Linked DNA regions of Arabidopsis thaliana. The protein of the gene in region 2 interacts with the protein of the main gene of each other region in a pairwise test. Each region holds a gene or a part of one and is shown on either strand. Other genes may lie near its edges.

Region 1 (3,421 bases), about 23 Mb from region 2:
GTCACTTGTTAAAAGCAATTTATGGTGGTGGTGGGCTACCGTCTGTTTTTTCATTTATATTTATGTGTTCACAGTTCACGATGAAATATGATAACATATATATATATATATATATATATATATACCTATCATAATTATTTTTTATGCTGTATATATGTGAAAAAATTGTCTATATATAGTAGTTAATTAATTATGTATATGAATACAGCATGAAAAATTATTGAGAGCGAGTGTGAGTCTTGTTGTTCTTGCTTTGCCGAGTTTCAAGGTCTCATACGAATTCATTTGCTCTTTAACAATCATGCATATCTTGCATATATATCAATATGTTGGAGATACAATAAAGTTGGTTATAAATATGTATAGTGGAACTCGAAGTAAGAAGATTTAAACAAACATGTAATTTTAGTTGTTTTAGGTAACGTTCACTTTACTTGTTTGGCGTTAACGGTTATTACGTTTCCGGCTATCTCTTCACGTTTGCATCGCTCACCTAAATTTTAGCGGCTTTAACGGAACCGTTTTTGGTCAGTCTCTTGTCCTTATCTTATTCCCCTTTTAATTGCCTCTTTTAAACCCTCTTTCTTCTTCAGAGTGTTTCTTTATCTATTAGCCATCAATCATTGGTTTTTTTGTTCTAGTTAAAAAATTCATCATTTTCATGACTCTTATGTTTTCATGTCTCACTTTTCCACTGTAAATTAGAAAAATAATTATTAGCCAAGTAGATGTTGATCTTACGCTGTACTAGTAGAGAGTATAACCACTCAGCAGATATTTTCTGTAAAGTCATACTATATTTTATTCGAGTGGATTCGACACTATGTGAATGGTTGTTAATTATCTAAAACAGTGTTTAAGTGTTACAATAAATGATTACTAATATTATAATTCCTTGGAGTATGATAGAATCGAAGATATTTTTTGAAATTATCCACTGATTAAGCTTAAAAAGTAGTAAGGAATACTGATTAAGAAACAGACCACATTAATTGGGTCCCAACTAATCACCGGCACCTAAACCAACAGAAGCTCATCATTACACGGCTTGCTAACTATACATAACATTCCTCTGTAAAGCATGTAGTTTCAATTTTTGAAATATATAAACCCTTAACCTTGCTGAGATTATAAATGTTACCAATCATTTTTAAAATGCTATTGCTGTGAATGTGAACGTCGATTATTTATGTAAACTTCTAAGTAAAACACATACACACATTACTCTAGAAAGAAAAAAGTAGATATGTTAGTTATCTTTTATGTTGGTAAGCGACTCAAAACGGACAAAAAAAAATGAGTATGGTAAATCTCAACAGCCAAAAAAAAAAGTTTACCATTGAATTAAGAATTTTCTCTTAAAAATATGTTTGGAAATCATAGGAAAACTTGTTAAATGTTTATTTTTTCATTTACAAATTATATATATATTCAGTGGTTAATCCTTTTGTACACACCATCTCGATTACTTTAGCAAACGGCAAAAATAAGACATAACATAAGTTATGCACTCACGTCACGACTCCATATAATCATTCATGATAACTGAGAAACATAAAAACTGAATTCATATTGCTTTTTTCTCCAACTCACTCATTACATACAAATACATAAATAAATAAGAAAAATTTCCATAAATCAGAAGTAAAAAGAATCTCATACGCAAAATAATAAAATTAAAAATTGATACGTCACACACAATCCACAACGTTAATTCGCTTCTTCTCTTCTATAAAACCCTTCCTCACTCATCTTCCTCCTCACACCAAAACATTTTCCTAAAAAAAAAAAAAACTCAAAACTCAAAACCATCTTTGTGAAAAAAAAATGGAAGGAAGACAATATTACCCTCCGAGAGAAAACGTTGAAGGAAACAGAACCACCATGGGAGGAGGACCTCACTCACCGTGGCATTCACCGGTTCCTTATCTCTTTGGTGGTTTAGCAGCGATGCTTGGTCTCATAGCTTTTGCTCTTCTAATCCTCGCTTGCTCTTACTGGCGTCTCTCCGGTTATCTAGACGGCGAGGAAAACCAGAGCAGAGAGAGAGATCTTGAAGTCGGAGATGTGAAACCTGACAAAACGGCGGTGAAGCCTGTAGCTTTGCCGGAGAAGTTCTTGGTGATTATGGCCGGAAATGTCAAACCTACTTACTTAGCAACGCCGTCGGTAAAAACGTGTACTTGTGACGATGATGACGATGAAGATGATGACGTGGAGGGAAGTGATCAGGTGGTGCCGCGGAGTAGTGAAAGTAACGGTGAGACACATTGACAAAACCAGAGGAAGGGAAGAGAAAAACAGAGGATCGTCTTATTGTGAACAGTTCTGAAGAACTGTTTGCAGCATCTGACCCGGTTGCGTCGGGTATTCGGGTTGGATCATAACTCTACTTGATGATGAGTAATATTGGAAAAAATTGGAATTGGGATTGAATTATTAGGAGTTGTTCTGATCAATGATGTATTTAAAAAATCTTAGCTTTTGCCTTTTGCATCGTTAATTCGTTTTTTTTTTTTTTGTAAGTTTTGTGCCATATCTAGGTCATGATGAGGGATAAAATGTAAATTTCTGAGACTTTGAATGTGAAATTTGTGATTTATGGAATTGAGAATGAAAAAACAAATAACTATCTGAGACTTCAATGAAAATATCTTGATTATTTTAAAAATTCACCAAAAAAAAAAGGTGATTAAATGATGAAAAAATTGTACTGTTCCAGTACATGTTTTTTCGTGGGATTAATGTGACAATTGTGGTCCGAACAAAAAAGAAAACAGAGAAAATATCAAAAGATTCTTCAGGTGAGAAAATTGAAGTGAGGACTACAGGCACGTGTGAAGGCACATGCAGAAGAATGTCTGATTTAATTTCTCTTAGGTGTCTCTAAATTGATGCGGCGAGGTGAAGCAGTTAAAATTAGCTTCAATCAACGACCCTAATCGTGTAATTAATCTCCTATAGCATAATTCTTATCAGGAAAATATTTTATAAGTTTCGAAAATGACTTTTAACTGCACTAGGTCTCTTTTCTTTTTTCCCTTTCAATCTTATCTTGTAGGCTGTAGCCCTAGCTAGGTTTCTTTTTTTTTATATTACTTTAAAGCTATGGATTCTTTATTTATACATTCATCTAATGAAAATGGATTACCAACTATTAATAGTGAATATTCGAGTTCAGAAACTAGACTTTGATGAATAACCGTCAATCTTTTGCCTCTTCTTCTTTGTTGCATAACAAATAGTTTTGTTTTATCAAAACAGAGTATTTTTATCAATTTAACGATATATGTTGAGCTGCGTAGACTTGTAATCAAGATGTTCGATGTAAAAATGTTTTTGGATTGGTTATGGGTCGAGAAAATAAAGTTGGCTAATGGTGGGTTTTATTTGGGCCCACTGTAGTTTTTTTGGTAAGAGG
Region 2 (3,749 bases):
TTCAATGTCTACTTTGTCGACCACAACACTTCAGTAATGCTATCCTATGTCAAGAAACCCGGCGTCACCTTTGTTTACCATCCGGATTTGGCTGAGAACAACTCGACAGGGAAAAAGATAACTCCGCTTGAACAGCTAGAACCATTTCCAGAAGATGAGAGATTCGATTTCCTTGCTTGGTTTGAGGAAACTGCGAAATACGCAGACTTTGTAGTCCTTAAGATGAACACAAACCAAGTGGAAATGAAGTTCCTAACTGTTTTACTGGAAACAGGAGTCATATGCTACGTGGATGAGCTTTTCCTCCGCTGTTCCAACCACAAGTCAGACTGCATCAACATGCTTCAAACTCTGAGAGCCAGAGGTGTGTTTGTTCATCAATGGTGGGAAGACTAAACCAATGTAAAACTCAATCTCGCTTCGCCTTAGTCTTATCTACGTCGATTCGTGTCTGTCTTTGTCTCAGTTGTAATGCCATCACCTTCTGTGTTTGCCATAGTTGGTCCTCGGCCACCACAGCTCCTGGCCAAGCACCTATAACTAAATAAGAAGCTGCCTATCTGTTTATCATTGCTATTTAAGAACTCAGTTTCCACTTATAATATATTGAACCATAACGTTTTACGTCTTAATTAAGCATGGCATATATTACACAAGTCGATTGCTTAACTAAATTTGTTCATTCTCCATCTCCATTTCATCCGTTCTTGTTAATCTCCAAAAGCATCTCAACAGGTTGTCTGCAAACTGGGCACAGATTTGTCTGAAACCTTAACGCCTTTGCGCACCCGCTACACATACACTGCCAAACAGAAATACACAAACCATTTCAAAAGAAGTTCAATTTTTTTTTTATATGAGCTAATTTTAAGTATGATGAACACTATACCATGTGTCTGCAAGGAAGAACAGTTGTATCGCGTGGTTCAGACAAGCATACAACACATTCCTTTCCCTCATCGGAACCATCAACCGTGTTCTCAATCCCATAAATCTCAAGCAGCTCATACCTCCTCTTATTCACCCATAGTATCTGCTTCACCACTTCTATTTTAATCTCTCCTTTCTCCTTGGTATACACCACTTGAGTAATCTGCACATTGGTGGAACCAGACTTTCCTTCTTCCGCTGGAGTTGCCTCCGCCTTAACCGCCAACGGGAAGACATCTGTATCCACCTCCTTGAATAGCTCGGAATCTTTAAACGCCGTCAAGTCTATACCCGTTCCAGATGATTGTATGAACTTCTGACCAAGTCCTTCTCCGAAATCAAAAGTGATTGGAGGCAAAGTATCTTCCTTTGTAGCTCTAAGATTACATTCTGCATCTTCTGTAGCAAAGAAAACAACTGTGATCCTGTTCTCGCCAACCAAAACAACAAAAGCTAAGTCATTTATATTACTCCATTGATTGATTCAAACAAGATTCAAACTTTTAACTAAATTTGATCATTTCATAGTTTGAAAGTAAAACCTTCCGGGCATGGATGCATCAAATGTGAAGGAGACAAGAAGTCGATTCGGATTCTCCGGGTCGGGTATGAGCGTTAAAGTCTTCTTCTTCAGATTAACATCGTTACGAATCGTGACGGCTTTCTGGTGGACGTACGTAGGAGGCGGCAGTATAGGGTATCTACCGCCGTGAAACAAAGGATGAGGTAGTTGGTAACTGTTGGGAGGATAGTGATGCAAATGGTTGAAATTGTACGGTAGCATCGGCGGCTCAGTTACTGGCGGAGGAAGGCAGTTACCTGGATACTGGTCAACGTAGTTAGGGTTAGGGTTCAGATATGGTGGCACGGCGGCGAATACAAATCTGTTCGGTGGGAGTTCAAGAGGAGCCGTTTCCATCGCCGGAGGAATATTGCTCCTCTGCCTTCTCCCGCAGCAGAAGATCAAACTGATCAGATTCCCCATGATCGGAAAAAGAAAAAAGGTGAGGTTTTTCGGTGATTCAGTTGATAAGGAGTAGAATCGAAGTAGGTTTTATGATCATTGAGAAAGGGGAGTAATGAGATTGGAGATAGCGACGTCGACGAAGAAACACCAAAACGTTTATTTGTATATATTATAAATTAGTATTAAACTTGATTAATTACCATGGGAAATTGATTATTACTTTTAATCACATAAAACAAAGAAATCATTATCAGTAGCACTAGGCAGGCAATAGGCCCAAGGCCTCACAACAATATCACGGTTACAAAATAAGAAGAAACGAAATGACAAAACCGGAGACACGAGATTGGTTTTGGAGGTTGATCGGAAAACAAAGAAACACATCCATTAATACCGGCGATTACAAGAAGCACTGCTCGTCATTAAGAAACATCTTGCACTGATCGTCATTAAGAAACATCTTCTCTTATGTCTGATTATATAGGAGATCATAATAACGTCGATAAAAAAGAGTTTAAAGTGGAAATCAACCAAGAAATAGAAAGCACTATCAAGATATATTTCAAAATGAATATTTCATTAAAATGGATTAAAAAATAATTAAACACTCGAGTTTTGATCTTGTCTTGTTAAAATTTTACTCATCGTGTTCCTCATAAATTGTCCCCAGCGAAGGCGAAGCTGAAACCCTCATCGGATAAACAAGAATCGCCGGTACAGTTTCGAATGGTCCGATCATCCTAGCCATGATTTGTAAATATACTCTTTCTTCGATTTAGACTTCGGCAGCTTTCGACTGTGTTGAGAAGATCTATGTGGAAATTATTGTTATTGCTGATATTTATAGAGATAGAGAGGAATAGTAGTAGTGTAATTAACTAATCATCAAGTGATCTTTATATATTTGTATACTTTTTTATAGGACGCAGCTTAATACTTATCGCACGTGATATTTATGTTTCATATTTAGGTGATGCTCGAAAGTTGAAACATAAGTATGCGTACACTGCTTTAGTTTGCAGATAAATCATACATGTCTTTATTAAAAATTAATGTAAATTAGATTCTTTTGGTTGAGAAAATGATCGCACCAAACAGAAATAGCGGTGAGACTGGTTTCAGGTTTAAGTTTGGTTTGATATTTGAAGATACTGATTTTTTGTCGTGGACCGGTTATCGTCCCGGTTCGGTTAGAAAGTATATTAAGATTTGTCTTTAATTACCAACTCGTGAGCATATAACAACAGATCACCGAGCGTACAAGATGTGAAAGTTGAATGAAAATTTCACAAAGAACTGAGATTTGATTGTACAAAAGATACAATACAAAATCTCATCTTATACAGTTATAGAAAAAACAACAACAACAACAAGAGTCTATCTTAAACCCAAGACCGAGTAACAAAATGATCATTACAATTTACACGTCCTCGTTTTCTTGTTCTTGATTGTCTTCTTCGGTCTCTCCGCCTTCTAAAATCGTCTCAAGAATCGGAGAAACCGATGGCTTCGCCGGAGAAATGATTTGTGGAGGAACAGCCTCCATCCACCACGCCACATCCACCACCACCGTCAGATTCTGATCGCACCGATTATCAAAGAAACACATATTCGCTTCACTAGATATTATTTTAGATTTGCGGAAGTAATTCAAATTGTTACTTTTTGAGTTGAATTGATACGTGTTCATTTGTTCGTATTTATAGAGAGATTGACGCGTGGAGATATGTGGAACAATGATGGGTTTGACGTAAGAGTCGGACAAGTGGACGATCCACAATGTTTAAGTTAGTTTGTTGACTTGGTCTTATTTGCTAATAATAATGAAACCAACACGAATATTCTAGAACCT
Region 3 (3,601 bases), on a different chromosome or scaffold from region 2:
TTATTTTTTGACATATTTGCAAGTCGAAAAGTATTTTAAAAGATCTTAAGTAATAATCAGTCTTGAAAGATTTTGTAGTAGTAAACCTAAAATTTAGGCTTAAAAGTCTTGGAGAACGGTCGATATAGATAAACAAAAATCATGTGGAACTAGTCTATTTTTCTTGTATCCTAATAGTAACATTATGTTATAATGATTTTTAGGATTATAAAACTGTCGGCGATGTATGTTTTTGTTCATAAATCTAACTTTTAGATGTATTTTCATGACAATATTCGAATGAGATTAAAAAATATATATGTAGTCAACGTGTGTTTCGGATAATTTTCTTCTTAAACTGCTTGTAAAAACACTAAATGATTACACCTCATAAAACTCTTCGAGTGAGGAAAATAAATCTTGCTGAATTAAAAGAGGAAAGAAAGTGAAATTGGCATATGGATCAGACAGCTCTGCTGTCAACAGATTGAAGCACTTTCTCTGTTCTGACAGCCAACAGTTTGAAGTACATGCAAGGTTTTTAAAAAAGTACAATTTTTGTGACCGTGAGTAATCAACCTAACCACCATATGAAATTTCTGAATTAGCACGTATTTCCACTCAAAAATGTGGAAAGTTATATAATCAAAACGAATTGGTTGGAACAATCGAATCCTAAATATATGGATGTACACACATGTACACGTAAGAAACCGCAGTTTCAAATATACTAGACTTTTTGGGGTGAAGTGACTAAATATTTCCTCAAACTACAAAATTTAGGATAATACGATTTAATATATCAAACGGTAAACACTACAGAACAAGTAAAAACCCCAAAATTTTGCTCTCTAGTAAAATTTACATTTCTAGGAATCATGACGAGGACAATTCTCCAGAAAACTCTCAAAAAGACGTTAATTTAGAAAAAGAAAAGTTTAGTGACTTGTAGTAGTTGTCTCGCCGGTATCTTTCACTTTCTCTTCTTCGCCTTCTCTCATCTTCTCTTCCTCTTTGGCAACACTTTCCTCCTGAGAAATCACCATTTTACCCTCGTGACCACCACACGTACACTTTTTCATCGCCGGTGTCGCCAGATACCTCGGCAAATCTTCTCCGGCCATTATGACAAGAAACTTCTCCTCGTAAGCTCCGTTCGCCGCCTTATCTCCAGACCGGCTCTCTTTCTCTTCATCTACGTTTTGACCATCTTCTTCGCCGGAGGAAGACAGGCGCCAGTAAGAGCAAGCGAGGATGAGAAGAGCAAAGGCGATTAGTCCTAGCATCGCCGCTAAACCGCCGAAGAGGTAAGGAACCGGCGAGTGCCACGGTGATTGCGGCGTCACTCCGTGGTGATTAACGGAGGTTGACGTTGCCACATCTTCAAACTTCGATTGTACGCTCAATGGTCTCATTTTTGTTGTTGTTGTGTGTAATCTCTTTTTGTTTCTCTCTGGACTTGTGTGTTTTGGAGATAATTTCTTCTACTTTTGTTTTTCTAACTTGATGTGGAAAAAGGAAAGATGAGTAGGAAACAGAGGAGAAGGTAAAGAGATGTATTTATAGGTATATGCAACTTGGGGACAAAGAAAGTGACGATCATATTTAATTGATGGAATTTAGTGGAACCAACTCTTTATTTCTTAACCATAGTGAACTCATCAACGTATCTCTCTTTTATTAAAGAAAATAACGTATTTATACTGTAAGAACTAAGAAGTTACAGCTGGACAAGTGAAAATGTTAAATTTCATTCAATATATCAACAGAACTAGACAGCTAACACTTTTATTTTTCATTCTTGAAAATAATAAAATACAGTGATTTGAGAGTTGAGATATACATAGTCCGTACAGATAGAGGCATATTTTTTGAAATCGATGTATTATCCATATACCACGCAAAAAAAATGTTTGTAGCTAATCAGAATCAGGGCATAGTGAAAGAGCAGTTTAGATTGGGGTGTAGTGGAATATGACAATGTTTTCACGATGATAATAGCGAACAAAGATTATTTGAAAGTGAGTGAGATTGTGGGTTAAAGTGCCAACAATTTCATTTTGTTTTTCTTCATTATTATTTCCAAATTTCATTTGGCTCTGGTGCTTTGACTTGACATATATACTCATTAATTAGTCTATCTTTCTTCTTTTCTTGCCTCTAGCCAAGACTATGCGGTGATTCCATTTTTTTATTTTTCACTTCTTATTAAGAGCTATGGATAAGAAGATCATAAGTTTATATAAGATCTCATTTTGTTTATGTGGTACGGTGAAGCATCAATCGTAAAGATGGTTCTGTGTAATTTGATGTCCGATTCCCTATAGTTCTTTAGTTTTAGTCCTGTAATTTTTTTATTTTTTTATTGCAGTTGTTTAATATATATGTTTATCAGTTAAATTTAGAATCTCTTTTTTCACCGTGGAATGATCCAATATCCACGGTAAAAGAAAAACTTGGGTTATCCTTTAATTTCCTTAGTTTTTCTTTACCTAATTTTTGCTTTTTGTTATTTTATTTTTATCTCACATCTTGAATTCTTGATTATACTTTCCCACTGTTTAGCCACAATTTGATTCCTCTTCTTAAGAATGTACGTTGATTTCTTTTATGCTTTCATCTTTGATGCTTTGTTTGTAGAGAAAATTAGGAATCTAGCATTTTAAAAAATTCAATTTGTTCAAATAACAGATACTATAGAAAAATCGTTGATGTTTTGTCTATTTGCTCAAGAATTTCGGCGTGGAAGCTTTGGAACATTGGCGTAATAGTTTTGAAAAATATGTAACGTTTACTTGTCAAATAAATTTTTGTCATGTTTTAATTCATAAACTTCGGTCGAAAACAAAATAGAATCATAAAACAAAGCAAGAAAATGAGTATCATGGGACTGGATCCACAAGACCGGGACATGTTTGATTTTTATGGTAATTATTTTTAGGCAATCAGAAAAATTGTGTTTTTAAAAAAGCAAGATAGAGAGATATTTTTAAAAAGATATTGTTATTTAAAAACATAAATCAAAATCAAAATTGGGAATTTCTTGTCAGTGAGAGAATAATAGTTTTATATATAAATAAAAAAAATACAGGTCCCATCTCATATGAGTATAGCAAGTTTCACAATCTTCATCATTAAAGAACTCGTGCATCGTTTAGAAGAAAAAAAGTTTTTACCTCTTTTTTAATTCTAAAACAGTATCAAAGTTTTTTACAAGAAAAAGAAAACAATAAAAAACAACAAGGGATAAGAAGGCCGCATTGTCCATTGGCAATCATTCCACTAATCACTATTAACATGAGAAAATAATATTTGTATAGTTTTGTTGTGTGATTGTGTCCCACGTTTCGTCAGCTTCCACTTCGCACCTTTTAGCAGTAGAGGGTACGTTTTCTTTCTGCACGGACAATCACCGCTCGTCGTTTTGTACTATTCGTCCCTACTCCTCTCATACATATAAATGGAAACGTTCAAAAATCTGAATGGCTTAAACAAATTAAGTTCAAAAATTGTTAGACGCTACCTAAACATCAAATATCCTATTGAATATGTATTCTTAGTACTAGTGAAAATCGTGTAAGTGAAGTGTGGGCAAGAGAAAGATGAACTTGTTAGTTGGAAA

What was found.
Region 1: the proteins of LUL1 (region 2) and GDU3 interact in a two-hybrid assay, tested with the Arabidopsis thaliana proteins (one study listed by BioGRID).
Region 3: the proteins of LUL1 (region 2) and GDU1 interact in a two-hybrid assay, tested with the Arabidopsis thaliana proteins (one study listed by BioGRID).

Annotation. Positions count from the first base shown.
Region 1 is NC_003076.8:23,365,209-23,368,629, reverse strand, and holds GDU3 (glutamine dumper 3), read left to right. Parts: upstream 1-1,566; 5' UTR 1,567-1,827; coding exon 1,828-2,274; 3' UTR 2,275-2,825; downstream 2,826-3,421. UniProt on the Arabidopsis thaliana protein: Probable subunit of an amino acid transporter involved in the regulation of the amino acid metabolism. Stimulates amino acid export by activating nonselective amino acid facilitators.
Region 2 is NC_003076.8:759,753-763,501, forward strand, and holds LUL1 (RING/U-box superfamily protein), read right to left. Parts: upstream 2,089-3,749; 5' UTR 1,916-2,088; coding exon 1,473-1,915; intron 1,356-1,472; coding exon 890-1,355; intron 803-889; coding exon 698-802; 3' UTR 567-697; downstream 1-566. Other genes in the region: CPUORF47 (peptide upstream protein), read left to right, coding at 1-396; AT5G03204 (uncharacterized protein), read right to left, coding at 2,535-2,645; DIP2 (E3 ubiquitin-protein ligase), read right to left, coding at 3,318-3,587. UniProt on the Arabidopsis thaliana protein: Acts as an E3 ubiquitin-protein ligase, or as part of E3 complex, which accepts ubiquitin from specific E2 ubiquitin-conjugating enzymes and then transfers it to substrates (in vitro).
Region 3 is NC_003075.7:15,359,000-15,362,600, reverse strand, and holds GDU1 (glutamine dumper 1), read right to left. Parts: upstream 1,590-3,601; 5' UTR 1,395-1,589; coding exon 918-1,394; 3' UTR 527-917; downstream 1-526. UniProt on the Arabidopsis thaliana protein: Probable subunit of an amino acid transporter involved in the regulation of the amino acid metabolism. Stimulates amino acid export by activating nonselective amino acid facilitators.